Linked DNA regions of Caenorhabditis elegans. The protein of the gene in region 1 purifies or fractionates together with the protein of each later gene. This does not show direct contact. Each region holds a gene or a part of one and is shown in the gene's direction. Other genes may lie near its edges. The genes, in order: cpf-2 and fbxb-87.

What was found.
Region 2: the proteins of cpf-2 (region 1) and fbxb-87 fractionate together in Caenorhabditis elegans (co-fractionation; one large-scale study listed by BioGRID). This does not show direct contact.

What each region holds. Positions count from the first base shown.
Region 1 is NC_003281.10:13,264,048-13,272,694, reverse strand, and holds cpf-2 (RRM domain-containing protein), read left to right. Parts: upstream 1-3,811; 5' UTR 3,812-3,819; coding exon 3,820-3,883; intron 3,884-3,934; coding exon 3,935-3,990; intron 3,991-4,041; coding exon 4,042-4,163; intron 4,164-4,209; coding exon 4,210-4,354; intron 4,355-5,057; coding exon 5,058-5,681; 3' UTR 5,682-5,763; downstream 5,764-8,647. Other genes in the region: F56A8.5 (F-box domain-containing protein), read right to left, coding at 5,810-5,966, 6,016-6,699, 6,750-6,823; F56A8.4 (F-box domain-containing protein), read right to left, coding at 7,725-7,866, 8,380-8,647.
Region 2 is NC_003281.10:10,891,179-10,899,825, forward strand, and holds fbxb-87 (F-box domain-containing protein), read left to right. Parts: upstream 1-3,341; 5' UTR 3,342-3,510; coding exon 3,511-3,590; intron 3,591-3,653; coding exon 3,654-4,554; 3' UTR 4,555-4,556; intron 4,557-4,960; 3' UTR 4,961-5,078; downstream 5,079-8,647. Other genes in the region: athp-1 (PHD-type domain-containing protein), read left to right, coding at 1-432, 1,313-1,746, 2,225-2,397; com-1 (DNA endonuclease activator Ctp1 C-terminal domain-containing protein), read left to right, coding at 5,250-5,303, 5,809-6,114, 6,845-7,184, 7,811-8,091.

The sequences.
Region 1 (8,647 bases):
AGATTTCTCAAAAAATGGCAAAAACTTAGTAATTGCCACTTTATTAAAATTTTCAAAAAACTTTTGGCCATTTTGACACTATTGACAAAAAAATATAGGTTTTTCCCAGTGCCCCAAGTTTCTTTTAAAAAAACTCCTGGGTAAGAAAAAAACAAACAAGAGTTGTGGAACTAATAATCCGGAAAAAAAACATATGTCTACATCCCTCTTTACATATTTATAAAAAAGTGTGTGTATACGGGGTGGATAAAAAACGACGGCAGGGGAAAGGAATATAAAGTGAGAGTGACAGCAAGACAGGTGACTGAGACTGAGAGACTGCAGAGATATTATACAGAATAATAATCATAATAATATCTAAATTCAATTGACTCATGGCAGCAGCAGCTGTAGGAATGGAAGACCGAATGGTGTGATGATAAACAATGTCGTATTATATAGTCGTGGAACAATGAAACGGAACCTTAAAGGCAGTTGTAGTGGGTCTCACCACGACAGGCAGGTAGGTATTTTTGTGCCTACCTAAAAGCTCAGAGATTTTTGCTTCAAATGATAGAAAATGGGTCGTAATATCCAAATATATGTAAGTGTAAAAAAATTTAGAAATTTGTATTTTCTAAATTTTTATGATTTAAAAATTAATATCGAAAAAATTTTTTTAGTGTTTTTATGTTTTGGTAAAATTTTTTTCGTGACGGCCATGGTGATCAGCGATTTTTTTTTGCAAAATTGAAAAAAAAAATCAATTTTTTTCGGTTATTCTTTCATTTAAAGCAGGGGTGGGCGGAAATGTTTAATTTTTGGAAATTGCCGGTTTGCCGATTTGCTGTTTGCCGGATATCAATTTGCCGGAAGTTTTTGAGTGATTTTTTTAAAAGACTCTACCGTTTTGAAATTTTTTCCCGTTTTTTTTTTTCAGATATTGCAGTTTTTCCTTCAAATTCGGCAAATCGACAATTTGCCGGAAATTTTTAAAAATAAATTTGTTTTTAATTCCGGCAATTTGCCGATATGCCAATTTTCCGGAAAAAATCGAAAGAAATGCGCAAAACCACAATTTGCCGGTTTGCCGATTTTCGTCGGAAACGCCCGATTGCCGATTTGCCGGAAATTTTTCAAGTTAATTTTTTTTTTCAATTCCGGCAATTTGCCGATCTGCCGATTTGCCGGAAAAAATCGTTTGCCGCTCTCCATTGATTTAACGCAGAAAAAAACCCCACCTAACTAACAGTTTCCAAGTTTTGAAGCAGAAGCTCAGAAGTTATAGCTTCATCCAAGCTACCTAACGAAGTTAAAAAACCGGAAACTTTCAACTTTTGTTTCATTTCAACTAAAGTGAAACAAGGGTCCAAGTACATGAAAAAGAGTAATAAACAAGGGGTGAAAATAGAAAAAAAGAAGCCAATTTAGGCAAAAAGGGAGAGCGAGAAGCTCAGAGAGCCCCGGCAAAAAACTTGCACACACACACATAAAAAGGGCTTTTCCTGGACGTCTTCTACTTTTTTTTCCTTTTTTTCATGTCGTGAAAAAAAAGAAAAAAGAAAAAATGGAGGGAGAAAAAGGAGAAAAAGAAAAAAAAAGTTTGACGAAAAAAAAAAAGAGAAAAAGTATTGGTGAGAGGAGAGGAGGTTGTAATCAAGCCAGTTTCGGGAAAAAAGGAAGAAGTTGTTGAGGAGAAGGAAAAGAAGAAGAAGAAGATGCTCACGAAGAAGAAGATATGTTTGTGTTCTCCACAGGGGAATACGAAAAAGGAGAAGCCAAACTCTTCTAGGAATTTCGGAAGTTTGCATGCGAAAAGGCGTGAAGAACATGAACAAGATACATGGGAGTTTTGTGGGGATGAGCACTTTCTGCTGGACTTTGACCTTAAAAAAAATTATCGAATTGAAGTGCAATCGCGCTCCAAGGCTAAATGAAAATGCTCCGCCTCGAAACGTTGGGTCTCGCTAAGTATTGGCGGCAAACCCGTTTTGTTAATTTCACTAGATTTTGGCATGCCTTCACGGGGTTCCGGCCTTCCTCGTTGAATTTTTCGCGCTCCATTGACAATCGCCTGCCGGACAACGCGTGGGAAAGTTGGGTACTCAACTCGGACAGTTACATTTAGTTTTACAACCAAAACCGAGCCGCGGCGCGACACGCAACGCACCGTAAATCTACCCCAGATATGGCCGAGCCAAAATGGCCTAGTTTGGCAAACTCTTCCATTTCAATTTATGAGGAAAGCCAGAAATCCGTGTGTCTTTTTAAAGGCGCACGGATTTTTTTAGATGGGTCTCGGAGCACAAACAAAAATTTATGGTAGTATTTTTTTTAATTTGAAAACTGAGTTAAAACTATTTTAATAGAATTTTTAAAAGAAAAATAAACAAGGACGGAGCCGCAAAAATTCAAAAAAACGAGAAACTTTTAACTATAAACTTTTCTACGCGCGCCGAGACCCATCTGAATAAGTCCGTGCACCTTTAAGAAGGCCTATCAAATTCTAGTGAAACTACTATATTACGGGAACACAAAATTCTGAGAATGCGTATTGCACAACATATTTGACGCGCAAAATATAACTATATCTCGTGAGCGAATTCTTTAAATGATTACTGTGGCGCTGGTGTCGATTTACGGGCTCGATCGATAGTTCGTAATATTTTGTCATTGTTATGTTTTCTTCTAATATTTTATCGATTAATAAGTGATTTCCGTAAATCGACACAAGGACTACAGTAGTCATTTAAAAATTACTGTAGTTTTCGCTTCGAGATATTTTGCGCGTCAAATATGGTGCGCAATACGCATTTTCAGAATTTTCCTTGCATTTTTGGAAGATTTGTTACGGTCTCCAAAACTCGAAGCTGGAAATTTCTTTAAAATTACTGCTTTGCGCCCAATAAGTTTAGTTTGGCAGTGGAGCGCTATTGAATTTCCATTTCGAAAAGAGCACTATTTTCAGTGTGTCGTCAAATCGAAGATCTCGAAGCGATTTATTGAAAATTCAACGGCTGGTCTAAAAAAGGGTTGGAAAACATGTGGAAGAATTATTTGATAAATTTTTTTAAATAGAAAATGTTTCGTTTCAATTAGTTCCAAATACTCCCAAAATAGAAAACTACCAAACATCAGGCATCAGGTATAACTAGTTTATGCGGTGTTTCGAAGTGGAAAAACTAGGCAAAAAATATTTTCAAACTAAAAAAATTATTTGAATTTTGTCATTTCAACTAAATAAAACAAAATAAAATATATACTCTGCATCTCTCGGGAACACTAACACCCCACGTCAACGCTGTTCCCATCAATCAAAATGCGCGAAATTGGCTCATAAATCAAACGGCGAAAAACTAAAAAAAAAAAAAACTGAAAATATTGGCGGAAATGTGAAAAATATAGTCGGAGAGACAAGCTGTTATTCATGAGAAGACATTTTTTTTCGAATTTTAAAGTTTTTCGTAAGAAAAATGAGTAGTACCCGATTTTTAAGAATGTGTAATAATAAAAATTATGCAGAAGATATCATTTTTTGACGAAATACGAAATCTTTGTCAATCAATATGTGTGTCAAACAAGAATCAATGTCAATTTCCGTCTTTTTCCGCGGAAATCGGTCATTTTCGGAGGGTCACTTTGCTTGTGCTGTGACGTCACAAAAAATGTGGGTGGAGCTAGAGGCAACGAATATGCAATGCGGGCGCGCAGTTTTCGCAAGTGTGCGGCACGCGATTTATTTTCGAATAGTTTTTTCTCTGTGCAGTTTCCAACTCCTTAAATGCTTTTATCGATTTATCGACGATTTAATTTATTCATTTTCAATTTCCAGGTTGAAAAATGATGTCCGGGGGATACAAATCATCCGGAGTGGGCAATGATCGATCTCAACGTTCAGTTTTCGGTAGGAAACTGTGAATTTTCGAAAAAAAAACGTAATTTTCGCATTTTTCAGTTGGAAACATTAGCTACGATGTATCCGAAGACACGATTCGCTCCATTTTTTCAAAGGTAATTATTATTTTATTCTTTCCAATTAAAATACTGAAAAAAAGTTTTCAGGCAGGAAATGTGTTGTCGATCAAAATGGTTCACGATCGGGAGACCGGAAAGCCAAAGGGATACGGATTTATTGAATTTCCAGACATTCAAACCGCCGAAGTTGCAATTCGAAACCTTAATGGGTATTAAATATTTGAAAAATAAATTATTTATTCAATAAATGTTCAGTTACGAGCTGAGTGGACGTATTTTGCGAGTCGACAGTGCTGCTGGTGGAATGAATATGGAAGAATTCGGCTCATCGAGTAATGCTCCAGCTCCTGTCGAAGAGAATCCGTATGGTCCAGAGTGTGATGCTGGAAAAGCACCGGAGGTAGCTAAAAATGAGCGAAATTGGCCTGAAATGTCTAAAAAATAACTGAAATTGGCCTGAAATGTCCAAAAATGACTGAAATTGGCCTGAAATGTCTAAAAATGACGAAAATTGGCCAGAAATGTTCAGGAATGACTGAAATTGGCCTGAAAATGACAGAAATTTCCCTGAAATATCCAAAAATGGCCAAAATTCGCCTGAAATGTCCAAAAATGACCGGAATTGGCCTGAAATGTCCAAAATTGACCGAAATTGGCCTGAAATGTTCAACAATGACTGAAATCGGCTCGAAAATGACTGCAATTGGCCTGAAAATGCCCAAAAATGCCCAAAAATGAATGAAAATGACCGAAATTCGCCAGAAATTTCCAAAATGACCTACACTGGTCATTTTTTGTAATTTTCGTACTTTTTTAAAACAATTTTTGGTTCTCTTCGACCAAATTTTAATCATTTTTATTATTTTTTGGCAAACTTCGCTCTTGTTTAGTCATTTTTAAGCTTATTTAGTCATTCTGAACGTATAGTCTCAAAATGAGCTCAATTGTAAGAATTTCGTAATGAATTGTCTCAAATTAAGCTTAAAAATGATGAAAAATAGTCGTATTTGCACAAAAATGAATAGAAAATGCTCAAAAATGACGAAATAGGGCCTAAATATGCATTATCGAGCTCATTTTCTTTCTCAAATCACAAATTTTAGAGAATCTCCCAAACAGTCGCCTCCCTGGCTCCGGAGAAAATGTTCGAACTAATGAAGCAACTGCAAGAATCGCTGAAGAACAATCCATCGGAACTACACAAATTCCTGGTCGAGCATCCACAAATCGCCTACGCGGTGCTCCAAGCCGCCGTTGTCATGCGAATCGTTGATCCACAGACTGCACTTGGACTCCTTCATCGTAATAAGGCCGCCACGCTGACACCATTCCATAATACACCTCAAGGAGCACCGCCAATGGTTCAGCAACAACAGATGCCGATGCCACCGAAGCCAACATTTGCTCATCCTGGCCCATCTATGGGTCCTCCGATGGGACCACCTATGGGTCCACCTATGGGACATCCGCAAGCTCCTCAATACGGTCAAAATTACGGGCAACCAGTGGCTCCACAGCAGTACAAGCCACCGCCACAGCAGCAGCCACCAGTTCAGATGAGACCTCCAGTTCAGCAGCCACAACAAAATCATCAAGAAGAGCAGCAAAATGCGGAGCTTCTGATGCAAGTCATGCAGCTCAGCGAGCACGATCTTCAGATGCTTCCTGCTGGGGATCGTGAGAAGATAATAGAGCTGAGACAGCAGTTGAAGAGAAATGTCAAGTAAATATGGATCTCGTCTCTCGAGTATTTGTGCTTTTAATTCTAATTTTTCCGTTTTGTAACTATCGATTTCATGAAGATCACATTTTTAAATTCAACATTTGGTTTATTGCAACAAAATTAAATGAAAATTCAATCTTCTTCCATCGGCTCTTGGTCGGAGAATCTTTTATGCCAAACCACCATCTCAACCTCGTTATCGTTAATGATCACAGAAGCGAGAAGACCATCGGCTCGTTCAAAATCCATCGCTTTCTCGCAGTTTAATGATTGGAATGGTTCTTCTTTTCTGAAACAGAATTTAATTTGCAACTTTCAGGAAACTTTTGAAAACTTACGGGAAAATTTTCTGCCGTTGTTCGTGGTTCCATGGTTTCACATCGAGACCTTCCAGAATTTGCCCTGGAACTCTTCCATCAATCTCTTTCGAATGAACAATCAAATTTTCCAATTTCGCATTTGATCCTCGGGTCCAATCTCTGAGAATAGTATTCACGTCTTGAACAGTGAAGTTTAAGCAATAAAGAGAAACACGATTTGCCTCCAATGCTCGAAAATGCTCCGCTCTGAACCATGAACAGCCACTGAGTTCAAGGTGTTCCAGATCTTTGAAGTTTTCCAAATTTCCATTCATCGTAGAGATTAGGTTCATCGAAATGCCCTCACATTGTTGTATAGCCGACCAATCGAAAAGATCAGCAGATCCTTCGAAATCAGGTCCCCAGATATGAACATTTGAAATCGGAAATCTTATCAATTCAGTCACCCATTCAGCCGCCTTCATCATCTCTTTCAATGGATTTTGGCATAATGCAGTTTTTCTATTCAATTTCCTGATTATAGTCCTATGGTGGCACGATGTTGGTGGCACGAACTTCCATTCGAATTCCTTTTTCGAATAGAAAAATTTCAAACGAATGACGCATCGATTATTATTGATTTCCACCGAGAAAAACTCTACGTAGAGGTTCAGAGTTTTGATGAATTCTCGGACAATTGGAGAGGACAGCGCAAAGTTGATGCTGGAAAATAAGAAAATTGTTTTTTTCCCTGAAAAAAAACTAAAACCCACGTTGCATTTGGTCCGAGATAGGCCACAATTTTTGCCAAACTGAGCTCCGGGAGATTGAGTAGAGTTCTCTCCATTCTAAACTTTTAAGAGTGCTATTACACAAAATTCTTAGAATGCGTTTTTTCTGAGAATGCGTATTCCACAACATATTTGACGCGCAAAATATCTCGTTGCGAAAACTACAGTAATCCTTTACATGACTACTGTAGCGCTTGTGTCGATTTACGGGTTCGATTATATTATTCTCTTTTTTTTTTCTAAAATTTAAATTTGGCATTCTATCGATAGAGCCGGTAAATCGACACAAGCGCTACAGTAGTAATTTGAAAGATTACTGTAGTTTTCGCTGTGAGATATTTTGCGCGTCAAATATGTTCTGCAATATGCATTGTCAGAATTTTGTGTGTTTTAAAAATTTCTCGAGACCAAGGGTCGAAAAAATATCGAAAAATCGAAAAAAAATTCGAGTCTTGAATAATTTTAAGTAATTTTCAAACACATGTTTTGCGAAAAAAACCGACAATTTTTCGGCAACACCATTGGTCTCGACACGACAATTTTTGTAAAAATGTAAACGATTGTGCGCCTTTAACGAGTACTGTAGTTCGAAACTTTCGTTGCTGCAAATTTTCCATCGAATTTTCAGCGAATTTTTTCGACGAAAGGTTTTTTTTTAATGTAAAACATACGAACTGTTGAGAAAACAGGTAAAAAATCTATAAAAATTGAGAATTACAGCACTCTTTAAAGGCACATACTCTTTTGAGTTTCATCAAAAATGTCGTGTCGAGACCGGATACCGTTCTTTTGGGGATACCTGGAAAAGGCCTGGAGCTTAAGATAAGAATATGAAATATGGCAGAAAAAAACCAATCTTAAATAATACATTTTTTTCGAAACATAAGAAAATAAAAAGATTATTTATTCACATGAGATCACGATAAAAGCACCATAAAATTAAATTTATAAAATAGATCAAAACTCATAATTGTCTCCTGGAAACCTTTCATGCCAGAAAACAAAATCAATTCGTTCTCGTCCAAAAACAATTGTAGACAGAAGGCCGTCCTTACGCTCGATATCGTATCCGAGTTTGCAGTCAAGCGGCTTAGGTCCTCTGAAATTTAATTTTCGGATTTAAAAGTGGAGTACCGAAATCTGAGAAATATTTAAAAAATGACTCCCTGATTCCAACATCTAAGTGAAAAAATTCAATAAAATTTTCCTGATTTTATATTTGGGCTTGAAATCGCGAATTTCATTTTCGTACCCATGAGATATGTCAAACGCCGAATTTTCGCGTCAGAGTCGCCAGGTGTCGATTTACGAGATTTCAATATTTATTGGATGCTGATTTCTGTTTTTTCAACGAGTTTCCTTCATTTTCGTCGGTCTTTGCTAAAGGAAACTCGTTGAAAAAAACGGAAATCAGCTAGCAATAAATATTGAAAAGTCTCTGATAATTTGGCGTTTGAAAAATCTCATCGGTACGAAAATGAAATTCGCGATTTCAAGCTGAAATATAAAATCGGGGAAATTTTTTTGAATTTTTTTCACATAGATATTCGGAATCAGGGAGTCATTTGAAAATATTTCTCAGATTTCGGTACTCCAGAATGAATAAACGTACGGGTAGATTTCTTGTCGTCTGCCTTTTTCGAATCTTTTCGAGTTTAAATCTTCCAAAATCTGGACTTTATTGTATTTCCCATAGAATACAATCCTTCTTAGTTTCCCGTTTTTATCTAAGTTGCAGCAATCTTGAATAAATAGATTAGTCATCCAACTTGAAAAGTATGGTGTCTTGATTTTTAGGTATTTTGGGTTCCAAGCTTCCAAAGAACTAGTAGTGAACCAATTGCACTGATTGATAAGAAGAACTTCCAATTCCTTTAATT
Region 2 (8,647 bases), 2.4 Mb from region 1:
CCAAGAAAATCTTTATTCCGCAGAATTTGCATCTCCACAGACTCCACCGCCAATTCCACCACCTCCCGCCGTCTACTATGACAATTTCTCGGATGCTCCTCGAAAACGCGGTCGACCAGTTGGATCAAGAAATCGGAAGGAGGGAGACACCACAATTCCGAAGCAGCAGAGAAAACGGAATCCACAACCGGTTGGACGTGGCCGTGGCCGTGGTGGTGGACGGCCACGTGGTAGTCGATCTAGCAGAGGATCAATGGATGATGGAGGAGGATCAAGACGGCACTCGACAGCATCAGATGCTAACGAATCTGCGGAATTGTTGAACCAACCTGTGACGAAACAGCTGAGAGATGAGATTAAAGAAATAAAACTGAAATACACGAAAATGATGATGGATCGGGGTTTCGAGCAGGCGAAGGACGAGTATTTTAGGTTCGAATCCCGGAATTTCAGAATTTCCCGCAAAAAACTAGATGAATTTAGTTCAATTTTGCACTATTCCGGTTACTGTAGCCTCGAAAACTGATTATGGCCGAATTTTCCCATTTTCTAGGCCATGGCAGCATATTTTGGCCAATTTTAATATAGTGGCTGAGTTCTAGATTTTTCTAGGCCATGGCTGCAAAAACTTGGCCAAATTGAGCAGTGGCCGATGTTTTCAACTGGATTGCCTAGGCCACGGCCCACAGTTTTCGAAATGTTGTGTATTTTAAGTTCGAATTCCGAATTTTCAGAATTTCCGACAAATAAAAAAATTGATGAATTTAGCTCAATTTTGCACTATTCCGGTTACTGTAGCTTTGAAAATACGCAAACACTGATGATGGCCGAGTTTTCTCATTTTCTAGGCCATCCTAATTCAAAAAAAGTTTTAAAAAAATTGATGGCCCATGTTATATTTCTAGAAAGCAAATCCACTTTTTTTTTTTAATTTTGAGTCCTAGGCCATGTTTGTCAAAACTGCTCCAATTTCAAAAATTCAATAGTTGCCGAATTTTTCCATAAGGTTTTCTAGGCCACGATCAGAATTTTGTGAATGGTGGCCGGGGTTTTGAGTTTCCTTAAATTCCTTTTTAAAATTTTCAGTGGCTGAGGTTTTTCTAGGCCACGTTTTTTCTTTGTAATCCAGTAATTCCAGGGGCCGAGTTTTTCTTTTGCAGTTTCTAGGCCACGATAGTAACTTTGAAAGCACCTTTAATTAATTTTTTAAAACAGAAAAACAGTGAAAAATTAGCATTTATAATTTCTAGACCATGGCCGAGCTTTTTCCTTGATTTCTAGGCCATTTTTATTTATATTTATGAATTTTCAGAAATCGTGACGCAGCACTCAGCAAATGGACGCCTGAACAATGGAAAGAGCACAATGAGCAATGTGTGGCAGCCCGTCTCTCGTCTCTAATCCCATACGATCAACGATATTTCCTACCGACTCAACGGGTCCTGGCACGATTGGATCTCGAGGATGGCGATCTACGACTGCCGGCGGTGCATCTTCCAATTGCCATTCAAAGATGTGTCACAAAACTCGGCACCGCCCATGATTGCCACGTACGATGTGATAAATTGACGGGCGATGCGTGGTGCTCGGTGCTTGCAGATTATCATTGTGATATTGTTCGCGATTATTATTCGGATAATTTTTATATTTCGACACTCGGCACTGAAGCGGTTTTTGTGGATGGACGGGCGGTACGAAGACCGCGGCTGACACCGTTTGAGGCAGCTGAGAAATTGAGAACTCGAGGTATTGGAAATGCCAAGAAATGGGCGGGGATTGGAAACTCCGTCTACAAAATGGATAATAAAAAATTGAGGAGTGCGGAAAATGTGGAAATTTTAATTTTTTTTCCGAAAAATTCCAAAAACTCAATTTTTTTGGTGAAAAATACTAAAAAAATCTACAATTTTTAGGGTTTTTAAGGCATATTAAAATCAATTTTTTCTGAGAAAATTCTGAAAATCCGAATTTTTTGATTTTATTTGTTTTAATGCAAAAATATCTACAATTTCTAGGCTTTTTTTCCAAATTAAATTATTTTTCCTGATAAAATTCTGAAATTCCGAATTTTTTTGATTTTTTTTCAATTTTCCTTTAAAAAAATGCCAAAAAATCTACAATTTTTAGGTTTTTTTTCTGATAAAATTCTAAAAAATTACGAATTTTTGGGATATTCTTCATAAAAAGGATCCATTACTTATTGAAAAAAATTTAATTTTTGCAGGTTCCTCAACAATCATCCCTCCACATATCAAATGTCGATGCCAAAAACATTCTGATCTACAAATTTCGCGCCAAGAGAGCACCGGTGAACTCGTTCGCTGTGGAATCCTGAAACTGGAGCACGGAGCACGTATTCAAATTGGCTGTGTCGCGTTCATCTTCTCTAGGATCTAATTATGTGATCTCTTACCTCTTTTTTTCTGTCCGTGAATATCACGTATTTTGATTTTGAAATTTTTTTATGTGAAATCGTAAAATTTTAATGATTCTTTTGGGTGTTTTTTTTTTTGGAAAAAAAAGATTTTTCCGGCAAACGACACGTACAACAATTGCTGAAATTGAAAATTTCCGGCAAATTCGGCAAACCGGCAAGTTGCCGAACTGCAATTGCCACCCATCCCTGTTGTGGGTGACAATCATTTTCCAAAATTTGAAATTGAAATGTTCAAAAAAAAATTGAGCAACGCAGGTTCTACTCCTACAACAGTAGGTGTATGGAATAAAATACTCAGGCAACTCAAATCTAATATGAAAATATTAAATAGCAATATTTTTGTAGTAAATACGAGAAATAGTGCGTCCATATAATATTACTAAAAATTTCGAATAGATTTCGATTGTCTCAAAATATTACAATTTGATCTCAAAATATTGCGAAATATTCTCAAAAGATTGCTCAATCTAAAAAGATTTCGAATAAGTCTCGGAATATTGCGATTTTATCTTGAAATATCACCCAACTACAAAAATATTGCTATTTAATATTTTCATATAAGATTTGAGTTGCCTGAGTATTATCTAAAACTTTGGGAATATCATTATGAGTGGTGTTGCTCTCGCTCTAACAGGATAAAATATCATATTTCCCAGAGTTTTCAATTGGTGTCAGAGTGTCCCATTTCGGTTTGATCTACGAGAAGCGCTGACGTTACGGTTTTCTGTACAAAAATTTGTAGATCAAACCGTAATGGGACAGCCTGACACCACGTGAGTTTGTCCGGTTATGCCCTGCATTTTGCAAATGTTATGATATTTATAATTTTTATAAATAACATTTTTCAATTGTGGAAGACTGTTAGAGTTTCTTCTGCCAAATGTACCTCCAGAATTTTTTATTTAGATGTGGTTAATGTTCATATCTCTGACCCCATGCCTGCCTGTGTATTAGTTGGAGTGGTCAGGACCAGTGTACATCTATAACGTATGTAGTACCCATTATCTTTTTCCTAATCAATAACCTGTTGGTTCACCAAGTCATTCATTTTCTTATTCATTCTTCTTACAACCATGATGAGAGGTTTTCCAATTTTTCGATTACCGCATAAACCACTACGTTTATTGCTGAAAACTATGGAGGTGCAAGATTTGTGAGTGCATTTTTTTCCCAACTGGAAACATAAATATTCTTATAAGTAGAAACAAGTTTTCAGAGTGAGGATATCGTTTTATTCAAAAACTGCCAAACATGCTGTTGAATCGTTGAATATGAAGCTCATATATTTTTATATAACAATTTCTGGGACAATACAATTTGATATCTTCACTTATAATATGGAAGATCTCAATTTGAAATTGTCTGTGACACAATCTGAAGGAAGGAATTTGATTCGAGTGCACGGTGAAAAAGTAATGACAGGAATCAGTTTGCGGGAGTTTATAGATCAAATTCTTACAATATTCCATCAAGCAACTATTCATAAGCTATTTATTAAGCATATCGACTACGATTATCTAGAAGAATTCAATAATTTGAATATTCAACTTTTACACCTCGCGACTAGGAGCTCACTGAAACATTTTGCAAGACGATTCGATTTTCTAACTTTAGAGCAAATTACTTGGGAAACTCGAGATTTCCAGTCACTTGTGGGCCTCAACTTCAAACATTTAGAAACAAGAAGCACTTTTAAACTAGAAGACTTACTCGTTTCAAATACTTCTCAAATACTTATTCATGAACCATTGCCCCTAACAGATCTATGCATATTTCTAAAACATTGGATCAATGGATCAACTGAACGGCTGGAATTATTCCATATGCGTCTTCCTCAAAATTTTCAGAAGGAAGAATTTATTCAGAATGCCTTAAGTGGTATTAAATACAAAAAACTGGACGTCGACCAAAAACTGGAGTTCGAAGCAGCTGTGGATGTATGGAAGGACTCACACAGAGAGGTGAAAAACGAGGGATTTGGAATCCAAAGGAGCGATGGTACCTACGCAATTATTGTTGTGTGTGATGAGTTTGCAACTAACAAGTATTTGAAGATGTTTGTTTGGAAGCCGATTGATTCAAGTATCGGAGATCTCCTTAAAATTGCATCGTTTTAAATGTTAGTTTTGATTTTTTCTTTGTATTTTTGCGCTAAAATACGGTAAATCTTTTGTTTAATGCGAAGAGGTACGCACCTTTAATGAGTACTGTAATTTTAAACTTATTTTTTGCCGCGTGGTTTCCGTTGCTCGAGCCAAAAAAATGCCGAAGTTATTTATTAGAATTTATTCTTGATTTTAATCGATAAATATATATTATTTACCACAAACCATTTCGACTTTGATCAAAGCTTTGATTTAAATATATTTAATCTTAAATTTCCCGCTGCAAACGCGCTCGCTGACACGGCGCAGAGATAAGAGGGCGCCAGAGAAGTTTTGAGAGAAATCATTTTTTTGAATTTTATTTTCAATGTTTCCTGAATTTCAGCTCAATTAAAGCGGAAAATGTTTATTTTTGCAGAGTATCTACGTGGTCACAAGAGGAAACTTGTACAAAATTAATTTAAATGTTAAACATCTATTTTAAAATGATTTATTATTTATTTTTCTGTTGAATAAATTGAATAAACTTAAATCTTGAATTTAAATCGTGAAATTTAAATCGTTTTGTAATTCTGGTTGCCAATTTACCAGTTCATTTCTATTTTATTAACAATTTCCGCACAGATCATCAGTTTCCCTTCCAGGAATCCCAAAAAATGGACAGATATTACGGTAGCCACGTGGCAAATTCAAGTTTTGACTCATTTATGCAATCTGTGGATCCATTTGAGCCAACACCGAAACGAAGATCCACTGGAGAGGTAATTATGCGAAAAAATCCGGAAAAGCTCGAACTTCAGAGGTTTTTCCAGCTTTTCAAGGAGAATTCTTGAGAAATTGGAAAAAACATAGAAAAACTGGCAGAGTTTGCTCAAATTTTTGTATATAAATGACTGCCTTTGTCAATTTTTGCAGAATATTGTTGAAAATCGAACAATTTCATCAAAACATTGCTGAAAATACAGAAAACCTGAAAATTTCAATGTTTTTCGAGTTTTATGCAGAAAAATGCGATAATTTTCGCCTGAAACTCGTTTTTTTTCAAAAAATCTTTTAGAAAATTGAAGTTTTGAGTATGCTAAAACAATAAATCAATTTTTCCAAAAATTTGCGCGTCAAATATGGTGTATTAAGTACGCAATTAGAAGTTGTGCAAACACCACTAATATTACACCATATTTTACGCGCAAATGTGAATATTTTGTCTTAAAATTGCAGTTTTTGAAAAAAAAAAAGGTTTTTTTTTCAATTTTCTCAAAATTTCAGTCGGACAGCATCGCCCGAGCCATCAGAAATGCTTTGGATCCCGAGCTACAGTACCCCCAGCCATCAATCGATATTTTTGGACCGTCTACATCAAATTTTGGAAATTATGAAGAAAATGATGAATCAATTCTGGCAATAGTATCCTCAACACATTCTTCACAAGAATTGAGCACAACAACGGATAGGGAAAAACCGCCGAAAAAAGTGAAAAAAGAGAAGAAAATTGGAGAAAAATTCCCGATTTTCAACTCCAAACCGGCGCATCAGCCGATTATGGATGATTTTTTATCACCTGATGATATCGAGGTGATTAATGGGATTTTTTCTATAAAATCCCGGAATTTAAGATAAAAATCTAGAAAAAAAGTTTTCCATTGAAAATTAGAGTTTTGACTTATAAAAAAATCGCGACGAGACCCATTTGAACAAAATGCGTGCGCCTTTAAATTTAAACTCTGATTTTGAAAATTCATTAAAATTTGAATTTTAAAAATTTTTCGGAAAAAATTGCATCAAACTTTTGATATTCATTCATTTTTTCTTAAAATTGGTTGAAAAAACTCAAAAAATTCTTAATTTTTCAAATTTTCAAGTTTTCTGATTTAAAATTTTTCTTTACGTTAAAAAAATTAAAATAAACTATAAAAAATGCTTCAAATTCTTTGAAAAAAAAAATCAAAAAAAAGACCGATTTTTCTTGAAAAATCCAATTCCTAAAAACCTTCTTGCTACAAATTCTGCAAAAATTCAAAACTCACAGAATTTACAGAGAAAATAAAAGCTCAAAAAATTCGTATTTTTAGCAGAAATTCAAAGTTCTAAACAATTTTGCGCGTCAATAAAATTGGATTTGAAAAAAATTAACCTGAAACTTGTAAAAAAATTATTTAAAAAAAATTTTTTAAAAAATCGCTCAATTTTAATATTTTTTGTTGAAACAATATGGCTAAAATTTCTAATATTTAGAGCAAATTATCAAAACGGTCCAAATCTCATAAAAAGTTTCTGAAAAATTCCAAATTTTCTGTATTTCCAGCGCTACCGTAACCGTCCCCGGAAACCATACGTAAAACAAATTCGAATGGACGATTATCTATTCAAAGCCCGTCGAATTGATAAAGGATCACGAGAATTTGGATTACACACAACACACGAACCAAAACGTGGAAGCAAGAAAAAACGGGATTCGATTGAAAGTCTTGAAGTTGAAAATATTCAGAAACCATCGAAAAAGCACAATGAGCAACATCAAAAGAAGCCTGAGCAACTCGATTTCACACTGGCATTCACTACGCCGAGTCCGGCAAGAAATCGCCAAAAAACTTCGAAATTGACAAAGTTTTTCGAGAAAAATCCATCGAAAACTTCTAATCGAGGTGAATATTTATTTTCAATTGTTTTTTTGAAAATTAAAAATTCAAAAAAAATTATTTAAAAAAATCTGGAAATTATTGGAAATAATTTTTAGTTTTTTTCGAACATAAAAAAAACGTGTTTTTTGCTTAAATTAATTTAAAAAAAGATTCTCTAGAAAAGATTTCCGCTTTTTTTGAGATTTTCGAGAAATATCGAATATTTGAAAAAATTTCATTGAAATATACGGAAATGAGCTGGAAATTTAAAATTTTCTTTTTTTTTTTAAACGAAAATTCGAAAAAATAATTCCATTTATCAGAGAGTCGGTTCTTTAAAAAAATTTTTAAAAACAGAAAATTTTAAAATCGAGAAGCAAATATTTCCCATATATATGGGAATCGAAACAGTAAAAAATATTTTCTAGATCGTTAAAATTTCAAAAATTTCCGTTTTTTCAGAGATTTTTAAAGAAAATCGAATATATGAAAAATTTCATTAAAGAAATAGAGAAATGAGCTGAAATTTTGGGATTTTTCGATTTTTTTTAATTAAAAAAAAATCAGAAAATCGAGAAAAAATTTCTTGATTTTTTTAAAGATTTTCAACAGCAAAATAAATTAAAAAATTAAAAAAAAATTATTTCCAGATTCGAAAATTGAAAACCGTTCGAATTCTTCATCTATCATGTACAATGATCCATCTGCCTACTCAAATGATAGTATTTTGGATGATACAATTATCTCCTCAACACCTCCTGATAAATCATCATTTCTCGCTGAAACTATGCCACTAGCGACACCAAGTCCCAAGAATTTGACACCAAAAAGAGCTCTTCCGACTTCTAGTGCTCGATCGATATTCGGACACGTTGTGCTGCCGAATCCGATGAAACGAAAGGATTTAGGTGTTCTGGCAGCAGTGGAGAAGGTTGGAAATTTCTGAAAATCTGGAATTGGAGAATAATTGTGGTCTCGCAGCGAAGATTCTAAAAATAGATAAAATCAAAATTTTCTAAAATTAAAAAATGCGGAATTTTTTTAAATTGCATTTTTGAACCCAAATTTTTTCGAAACGTTTTGTTCATAAAAAAGTTTGTAAAAATTCAAAAAAAATTTAAAATTTAGAAAAAAATGCAGAAATTGCCCAAAAGCTAAAGAACAATGCAATTTTTTTAATGTGAAAAATAAACACAATATTGAAAAAAATAAATATTTGAAAATAATTCAGAATTAAAAAAAATCAAGCAACTGTTCAATTTTTTAAGGTAAAAAAAAAATTCAAAATCAAAAATATTGTAAATCTATAAAGATTCACGAAACTTTTTTATTTAAAAAAATTCTGAAAAACTCTTAAAAAATTATTTTAAAATTCCTATTTTTTTAAAATTTCAGAAAAATTACAAATATGTATTTTTTAAAATTTTTTATTTTCTATTTGGAAAGATATAAATTCAGAAATATTTAGACCTTTATACTGAATTTTT